Linked DNA regions of Macaca mulatta. The protein of the gene in region 2 purifies or fractionates together with the protein of the main gene of each other region. This does not show direct contact. Links are inferred from orthologs where the notes say so. Each region holds a gene or a part of one and is shown on either strand. Other genes may lie near its edges. The genes, in order: GDI1 and RAB5C.

What was found.
Region 1: the proteins of RAB5C (region 2) and GDI1 purify together in Homo sapiens (affinity purification with mass spectrometry; 3 studies listed by BioGRID and IntAct, counting the BioPlex papers as one, with this or other methods). This does not show direct contact. The link is inferred for Macaca mulatta from reciprocal best matches to the Homo sapiens genes RAB5C and GDI1.

Annotation. Positions count from the first base shown.
Region 1 is NC_133426.1:160,619,199-160,623,476, reverse strand, and holds the start of GDI1 (rab GDP dissociation inhibitor alpha), read right to left. Parts: upstream 3,058-4,278; 5' UTR 2,775-3,057; coding exon 2,730-2,774; intron 1,462-2,729; coding exon 1,354-1,461; intron 1,222-1,353; coding exon 1,122-1,221; intron 981-1,121; coding exon 846-980; intron 38-845; coding exon 1-37. Other genes in the region: ATP6AP1 (V-type proton ATPase subunit S1), read right to left, coding at 4,092-4,278. UniProt on the Homo sapiens protein: Regulates the GDP/GTP exchange reaction of most Rab proteins by inhibiting the dissociation of GDP from them, and the subsequent binding of GTP to them. Promotes the dissociation of GDP-bound Rab proteins from the membrane and inhibits their activation.
Region 2 is NC_133421.1:66,492,885-66,497,188, forward strand, and holds the start of RAB5C (ras-related protein Rab-5C), read right to left. Parts: upstream 2,823-4,304; 5' UTR 2,706-2,822; intron 1-2,705. UniProt on the Homo sapiens protein: The small GTPases Rab are key regulators of intracellular membrane trafficking, from the formation of transport vesicles to their fusion with membranes.

The DNA.
Region 1 (4,278 bases), on a different chromosome or scaffold from region 2:
TTGCGGAAGCGCCGTTTCTCAAACATACCCATCAGATCTAAGGAAGGTGGCGGGAGGAGGTTCTGCACCAACGCAGCACAAAACTCTCCATCTCAGCAGGGCAGGCACCCCCACTCCCAGCCCAGCTGTCCTGTGACCTTAGGTTAACCTCTCCACCCTTTTTAGCCTCAGTTTCCCCACCAGGATGAAGAGGGGATTGGCCTGGATGGACTCTAAGGGCTTTCCTGGCTTGGACACTTGGGGATGTCTTGAGGATCCAGTGGAGCCCCTGCCAAAGGCTCAAGTTTTCTTTGTTGTTGTTGTTTTTTGAGATGGAGTCTTACTCTATCGCCCAGGCTGGAGTGCAGTGGTATGATCTCGGCTCACCACAACCTCCACCTCCCGGGTTCAAACCATTCTCTTGCCTCAGCCTCCCGAGTAGCTGGGATTACAGGTGTGTGCCACCACACTCAGCTAATTTTTTGTATTTTGAGACGAGACGGGGTTTCACCATGTTGGCCAGGCTGGTCTTGAACTCCTAACCTCGTGATCCACCCGCCTAGGCCTCTCAAAGTGCTGGGATTACAGGCATGAGCCACCGCGCCTGGCCACGCTCAAGTCTTTCAAAAGGAGTCCCGTTCCCCTCCACGTCACATCCCTGCTGCGTGGGGACCTCCCTCTTGGCAGCCAGCCATGCGGCATGACATGGGGCAGAGGGAATACAGAGTGAAGGGCCTCTGGTCCCCTTCATGGGGGAATGTGACTTTGGACAAAGGGGTACCTTACTCTGGACAGCCACCCATCCCAAAGACAGTTGGCTTCCCTGCCACCCCATGATTTCTCTGGCTCAGGGGGCCCACACTCACTGGAAGCCAAGGCCTCAGTCTCAGTGGACGGCACTTTGTAGATCTTGCCCCCCTTGTAGACAAAGCTGCCCTCCACCACCTTGAAGTCCAGGTAGCGAGTCACTTCTGTATACAGTAGCATCTTTACCAGCTGCCCTGTGGGGGTGCACAAGGGCAACATCAGCACGGCTCTCTCCAGAGGTTCTAGCTGGTCTGGCTGCGCCTCCTTTGGAGCCTGACTGTCCTTAGGTCTTCCCTATCACCCCCGACCTGCAATACCTCCTTCCTGTCCCTCACCGTTAGCCATGAGGAATTTGGGAATCAGGTCAACGTTCCAGTCTCGGCCTCGGCCCATGGACTCAGGGGGCCCCTCCAGCAACTGAAAACGCTTATACAGCTGTAAGCAGAAGGGAGAGAGAGACACCTCAGGGACCACCTCCTCCTGCTCCAGGCACCTGGAGAGCTACTTCCACCCTGTGCCGCTGTGTGGGAGGTTAACAGGGATGGGCCTGGGCCCAGGCAGCCTCACCTCCTCCAGGGGTGTGATGGAGGAGCTCTCGCCCCCGTAGTAGGGGTTCCGGTCCATGTGCAGCACCTTCTTCCCGTTCACAGACATGATGCCCGACAAGATGCATTCCTGGGGGAGGGCCACACAATCCGCTGCACTCCCACCTTCCTCTGCTCCTACCAGCAGCCCTGATTTGTTCCCCACCCAAACCTGCCTCAGTGGACAGCTCCTTCCATCCACCACCCCCACCGGCTAGTTGCCTCGCCTAAAATTGGGGTGATGGTTTCATCCGACCACACTCTCCATTGCAACCTTGCGGGGTAAAGGAGACCCGTCCCCCTCACAAGGCAGACAGTGAAATAACGGAGGCTTTGAGGTAGGCAGGGCATCCAGCAGACACAGGATGGCCTTCCAGTACCAACACGCCGAGAGGCATCTACCTACGCAGAGCCGCACAAAAAGGCGGATAAAACACAATGTGGCACAGAGGGGACCCAGCTGGACTGCGAAGGACACTCCAAAGGGAAGCAAAGAAAGGCTTAGCACAGTCCTTGAAATTGTAGGCCCCACCCTGGACTGCTCTTTCTTCAAAGAGCAGGAGCCCCTGCCGCTGAGGAGGGGCATCTGGGTCTGGACCGAGGGAGAAGAGTCTCTGAGGGGAGTGGGCCAACGGGATTTTCGGGGAAAGGGGGAAGATAAACACCCTCACCAGTCACTGTCACTAGCCCAAGGACAAAGGCTGCAGATGCTACTCAGCCTGAGGTCTCCATGGGCAACCGAGGTGGGGTTGCGGGAATGTGCTTACTGCCCCCACTGCTGCTCCTTCTGGAACATTCCCTGGATCCCCTGGCCCCAGAAGACGACGAGGGGGTGGGCTGAGAGCCCACCCTGGCGAGGCCCCCTGACCCCAGGTCCTTGTACTTCATCCTCACAGGGATTAGCGCAAGATGGGAAGGGACGCTGGGAGGCAACGCTAGGCGGGCGATGGGTGCGGGCGACGGGTGGATGCCGTGATGGGTGGGGGCGATGGGTGGGCGGGGTGGGGGCGATGGGTGGGCGGGGTGGGGGCGATGGGTGGGCGGGGTCGGGGGCAACGGGCCGAGTGGGGGTGCGTTTTCCGGTCCAGAGGGCAGGGGTAGGGAAGATGGGAGAGCGCCGGGGGTCGGACCCGGGTAGGCCAGGGGGCGGCCAGGAAGGGGGCCCCTTCGGGGAGATGGGGTCATGGCAACGAACAGAGGCGACATCGCGGGGGGAGCAGCGGGGTGGGCACGGCGCCGGCTTTTCGGGGAGCCGAGCGCAGAAGATGGCAGTGACCGGAGGATGGGCCGGCGGCCGCATCATCGCGGGGAATGGCGAGGGCACGACGCAGGGCCAAGGGCGCCCGGGGCCGCACTTACGGTGAGGCCGGTCCCCAGCACGATTACATCGTATTCCTCGTCCATGGTCAGGCCTCAGTGGCAGCGCCCGCTCGGCTCCTCCTCCTCCTTCACCACAGCAGTAGCCACCGCCGCCGCCGCCACCGCACTGGACCAAAGATGGCGGAGCGTCGGCCGCCGCCCGACCCCTCCGCCGCGTCAAAGAGTCCCGCCTCTTCCCGCGCCCCGCCGCACCCGGCAGGGGACACCGCCTTCCCGGCTCGCCTCCCGGGAGGGCTGCCAGGGCCCGGGCCACAGCACCAGCGCGGCTCCGCGGGCGACGTTGCTCGCCGAGAGTCCAGAGAGGCTCGGGGCGGGGCGGGCGGGGCGGGCGGGGCGGGCCGGCGGCCGGTGCTGCGGCCCGGAAAGGATCCATGCGCGGGAGCCGCGCGCGCCCCGCCCCACCCGCCCCGCCCCGCCCCGCGCGCGCCCGCCCCGCCCCCCGGGAGTCTCGGCGCGGCCCCGCGACCGGACGCGCGCCGCTGCGGCAGCCGGGGGCGGCTCCCTCACGACGCGAAGGCTGCCATTGTCACTACGGCCTCCTGAGACGCCGAAGCGCACCGGGACTCGGCCCGACCACCCCTCCCTGACCTAAGCGGTTAGGGCCCAGCTTACTAAAGCCCCTCCCGGTCTCCGGGGATGCCTCCTAGCCTCCCCCTCTCCAGGCTCCATCCTCCCGCATACCTCTGGCGAGCACGCGCCAAAAGCTCAGCGCAGAAATGAGCGACAAGAGGCCCAACGCATGGCGATCCTCGTTTACTTTATTAGGAAGGAAACAACCGAGCACCCCCTGCTCCTGCCAGGCACTTCCGGTGGGAACATGCCAGACAGCCGACGATCGCACCCAGCCCACCTTCCTTCTCAGGCCACAGAAATAAACCCCAGTGTACTGCTTATTGTTAGCACAACATCACCAGAAAACGATAACGACAGCCAAGCAGGACAGTTAAGTAGAACTTCCACACCCCAAACTCAGGGAGCCCTATAACCTTAAGGAGGGAGCATTTGCTACACAAAAACACTATCCACAGCCAGGGATGATGTAGACACAAGAATAAATAAGGAGAAAGGGGACCCTAGAATTCATGTCCCTTACGCCTCACAGCGACTAAGCCTGGGAAGCTGGTTGGTCTAGCATCTACGCAGAATATGTACACCTTGTTGGGAGAGATGGGGGCAGCCCAGGAAAGCTCCTCAGCAGGCTGAAGAGGGAGCAAGATGGGCTGAGGGGAGCTTGGGGTTCATGCTGCGGTAGGAAGAGGGAAGCTCCAGTCCAGTGTGCTGCAGGGTGGGAAAGCAACAACACGGACACTCTCCCACCCTCAACCCCCCACTGGCACAGGGTCAGACAATCTGGGTCAAAGAAATGGTGGGGCCCTTGTGATCATCAAAGCGATCCATGGTCTTGAGACTGAGGATCATGTGCAGGCCGTAGGTGAAGATGAAGAGCATGAACAGGGAGGTCAGCAGCCCCATCCAGATGCCGGGGGAGAAGAAGCTGGCACAGTCACTGGCATAGGAGAACTGCTCC
Region 2 (4,304 bases):
CCTGTAATCCTAGCACTTTGGGAGGCTGAGGTGGGTGGATCACCTGAGGTCAGGAGTTCCAGACCAGCCTGACCAACATGGTGAAACTCTGCTGCTACTAAAAATACAAAAATTAGCTGGGCATGGTGGCACATGCCTATAATCCCAGCTACTTAGGAGGCTGAGGCAGGAGAATCCCTTGATCTCAGGAGGCGGAGGCTGCAGTGAGCCAAGACTGCGCCACTGCACTCCAGCCTGGGCGACAAACAAAGCTCTGTCTAAAAAAAAAAAAAAAATTCATTTCAGAGTCAGAGCTGGGAGACCATGTCCAGATAAAGGAAAGAAGATCTCCTCAGAAGCCTGGTCGGCCTCATCCCAGCACTCATGAAGAGTGACAAACTACGTTCTACTCCTGAAGACCTAAGTCTGGTCAGAGACCAATGGCCAGTGAGCAGTCAGGCCTCTCTGGCCCTGCCGCTCAGATACCCAGGCTGACCAGATCAGAGAAACTAGATTGGCTGAAGAAGTCTCCAATGAGCCCCAAAGGAACCCACACAGATACAGAGCTTGTGATCCAGCTGTTGACCCTAATAACGAAGGCTTCTTCTGTTGTCCAATAAAAAGTGAAGTAAGTAGGCCGCACACAGTGACTCACACCTGTAATCCCAGCACTTTGGGGGGCTGAGGCGGGTGGATCACCTGAAGTCAGGAGTTCAAGACCAGCCTGGCCAACATGGTGACACGCCTTCTCTACTAAAAATACAAAAATTAGTAGGGCGTGGTGGTGGATGCCTGTTAATCCCAGACACTTGGGAGGCTGAGGCAGGAGAATCACTTGAACCCAGGAGGCAGAGGTTGCAGTGAGCCGGGATCACGCCACTGCACTCCTCTAGCCTGGAGGATAGAGCAAGACTCCATCTCGAAAATAAACAAACAGGCCGGGCGCGGTGGCTCACGCCTGTAATCCCAGCACTTTGGGAGGCCGAGACAGGCGGATCACGAGGTCAGGAGATCGAGACCATCCTGGCTAACACGGTGAAACCCCGTCTCTACTAAAAAATACAAAAAACTAGCCGGGCGAGGTGGCGGGCGCCTGTAGTCCCAGCTACTCGGGAGGCTGAGGCAGGAGAATGGCGTGAACCCGGGAGGCGGAGCTTGCAGTGAGCTGAGATCCGGCCACCGCACTCCAGCCTGGGTGACAGAGCGAGACTCCGTCTCAAAAAAAAAAAAAAAAAAAAAAAAAAAGAAAATAAACAAACAAAAAAGTGAAATAAGTACATCCTAGGTCTACTCAAAAGAATGTAGGAATCAGACACTAGCCGCTGTCCAGAAGCACTCAAACACACCTCAAGGTCAAAAGACAGCACTTTTAAGTGGCACGCAAGGGTGGTAAAGGTAGCCCAGAACACTGAAGTGCTACAGAAGTTCCCACAAACTGCATGGTTTTCTGTCCCTTCCTTCACTGTAGATAGCAAGGATCGGTCATGGCCTCAGAGCCAGGCTACTCCTCATTAAGGCACAGTCTCCGGCCTGTACTTTGGCCACATAACAAAGCTTGGTCTGAGACAGCAGCTATTTCACACACCAAAGCCCCAAGCAACAGACAAGGATCATAGTCAATATGCTTGAGGGAACCTGCACTTTCTGGCATGTATGGGAATTCCTTGGGCTACAGTTAAAAATCCTGAACTGCCATTGTGATCTTGACTTAGTCCTCAGTAATAAGTCCAAGCCCAGAAGGGACTGGAGACAGACCCTGGCGTGCCATGGACCTGTTGCTCAGCGTGGGGTGTGTGTGTGTGTTTGGGAGTGAGAAAGAGATAGCCCTTCAATTCCAGACTCCTCATTTTGGGTCTCATTCTCCTCCCTATAGACACACGGACAGCAGTCCCAAAAGCAGCAGTCCCTTTGAGGCGGCTTGGAAACCACTCACGTGCTGTGGGAGGACAGAGCTGAGCCTGGAGCAAGGGGGGAGGGGAAAGAAGATAATGAATGGGCACATCCACCCTGATCTGTGATTTATAGCTGGAATTGAGCAAACCTCAGCTAAATTCTTCAGAGTCAGGAAGAGAGAGACACTCAGAGAACAACATAACTAGAGAACAGGGGCTGGGAGACAGAAGGGGCAAAGCAAGAAAACAGCTCATTGCCAGTAAGTGACCCAAACTTTAAACTCTGCTGAGGTCCTGGATGGTTCTCTGGCTTGAGGAAAGAGAGGAAGTAAGGAGTTGCGGGAGCGCCAACACACTTCTGTGCGTGTGGAACGGTCTCACCCAGACGACCCCCTCCCCCAAAGGAAATCGAGATATTCCTCTAGGGCTGGAGGGGACAACTGGTTTTGTGGGACAGCAGGAAGGAAAACGGCGACAGACAGCACTCTCCGTCACTTCTAAAAGAGAAGAGGGACAGGTTCCTTCACACCTGGCAAAGATCCTCCGATTCTGGGAGCAGGGGGAGCGGAACTTAGGCACCTCTCTCCCACAACTGGAATGGACAGGCCAGAGGACAGTCATAGCGATTTCCTTAAGGCTCACGAAAGGTAGGTAAGCTAAGGAAAGAAGCTCCCCATCTCCTGCGGCCCGACGCCTGGGGAACCCCTCAAGAGGGGGCTACGGGTCGGGGGAGGGGTCAGTATCCCCCTAAACTGGGGCTGGGCGGGAGGAAGGGCTGCCCTGGAGATGCTTCAACGCAGGCGAGACACCAGGTCCTGGGACAGGAATACTCACGGCGGCTCCGGGGCGGCGGCGTTACTTGGGGCCGGGGCTCGGACGGGCTCTGCTTCTCTCCCCCCCCGGCGGTGTCCCAGGCTCCGGCCTCCACTTCCGTCTTTCAGCCGCTCCGGATCCGGATCTCTACCTCCGCCCCGCCCCTCAATACTCCCTGGTGATTGACAGGGCGGAGAAACCAATGGGAGGCACTCTTGGCCGACCTACCCAGCGGCGCCGGTAGGAACGCGGGAGTGGCGGGAGGGCGCGCGCGAGGGATGGCGGGACTTGTAGTTCGTGGCGATGGGAGGAGTCCGTGGCTGCCTGGGACTTGGGCTTAGGCTGGAGCCGGCTGACTACAAGGCCGAGCCCGGCCGGGAACTTTTTATTTTTTTTGAGACGGAGTCTCACTCTGTCGCCCAGGCTGGATTGCAGTGGCGCGATCTCGGCTCACTGCAACCTCCGACTCCCGGGTTCAAGCAATTCTCCTGCCTCAGCCTCCCGAGTAGCTGGGATTACAGGCACGCACCACCACGCCCGGCTAATTTTTGTATTTTTAGTAGAGACGGGGTTTCACCATGTTGGCCAGGCTAGTCTCGAACTCCTGACCTCAGGTGATCCGCCCTCTTCGGCCTCTCAAAGTGCTGAGATTACAGGCCTGAGCCACTGCGCCCAGCCTATGGCCGGGAACTTTTTGAGGCCAAGCCTGCCACCCGGTCACCGCCGGTTCCGGACGCCCCGAGGGAAGGCGGGTGGTGGAGCGTTGGAAGAAGGCAGAGGACTATGTGTGCAGAATTGGGAAAGAAGAAACATGGTGCGAATGAATATGCATGCGAGGCCTCAGTCCTTCGAACTTGCCGATCTGGAGAAGCCCCTGTCTGCACTTTCCGGCCAAGTCAGCTTGGGAAGCCCGATTGCTGGGGGCGTCTGTGATGGGGAAGGCGATGAAAGCGCTGTAGGAAGGGTTCTCTACAGGATGCTGGGTGAGATCAAACGGAGAGCTTCTGCCACCACCTCCTACTTGGTGCAGGGGGCCGGCACAAAGACCATCTCTGCCTCTGCCTTCCCCTGCTCCCAGCCAGGGTCAGCTCTTCTCTCTGACACGGAATACAGAGCTGGACAATCTCTGCCTGGGCCCTCTCCATCCGCAAATAAAGACTAGAACCACCCCCACTCTGCACCCCCCCATGTGGATCAGGAATATTTGTTTCTTCTACTCGTCTCAATATGGATGGGGCCCGCTCCTGATTCCTCCCACCCTTACCTCTCAACACAGACCAGTACCTCCTCTTCTTTTGCATCTCACCCTCCAGGGACACTACTGAAAACCTGTGTGGAATCAAAGCTCACCGGGGACAGCTGTGGCCACTGTGCCTCTAACACTGGCCAACACCAGACATATCTTGGAGCCTCAGCTGGAGAATTTACCTGCCTTGGACAACCTGCCACAAAACTGTGCCCACATCTAGTTCCATCTAGTCACCAGGGCGTCTCTTTCTTACGTCCGTAACACACAAGACCCCCTTCCACGCCAGTGATCATGAGAAGTGAAAAGGAAGAGGGAAGAGAGGGCTTGTTGGGAGGACAGAGGGGATGGGGCAGAGAGGGATTCCTAGCAGG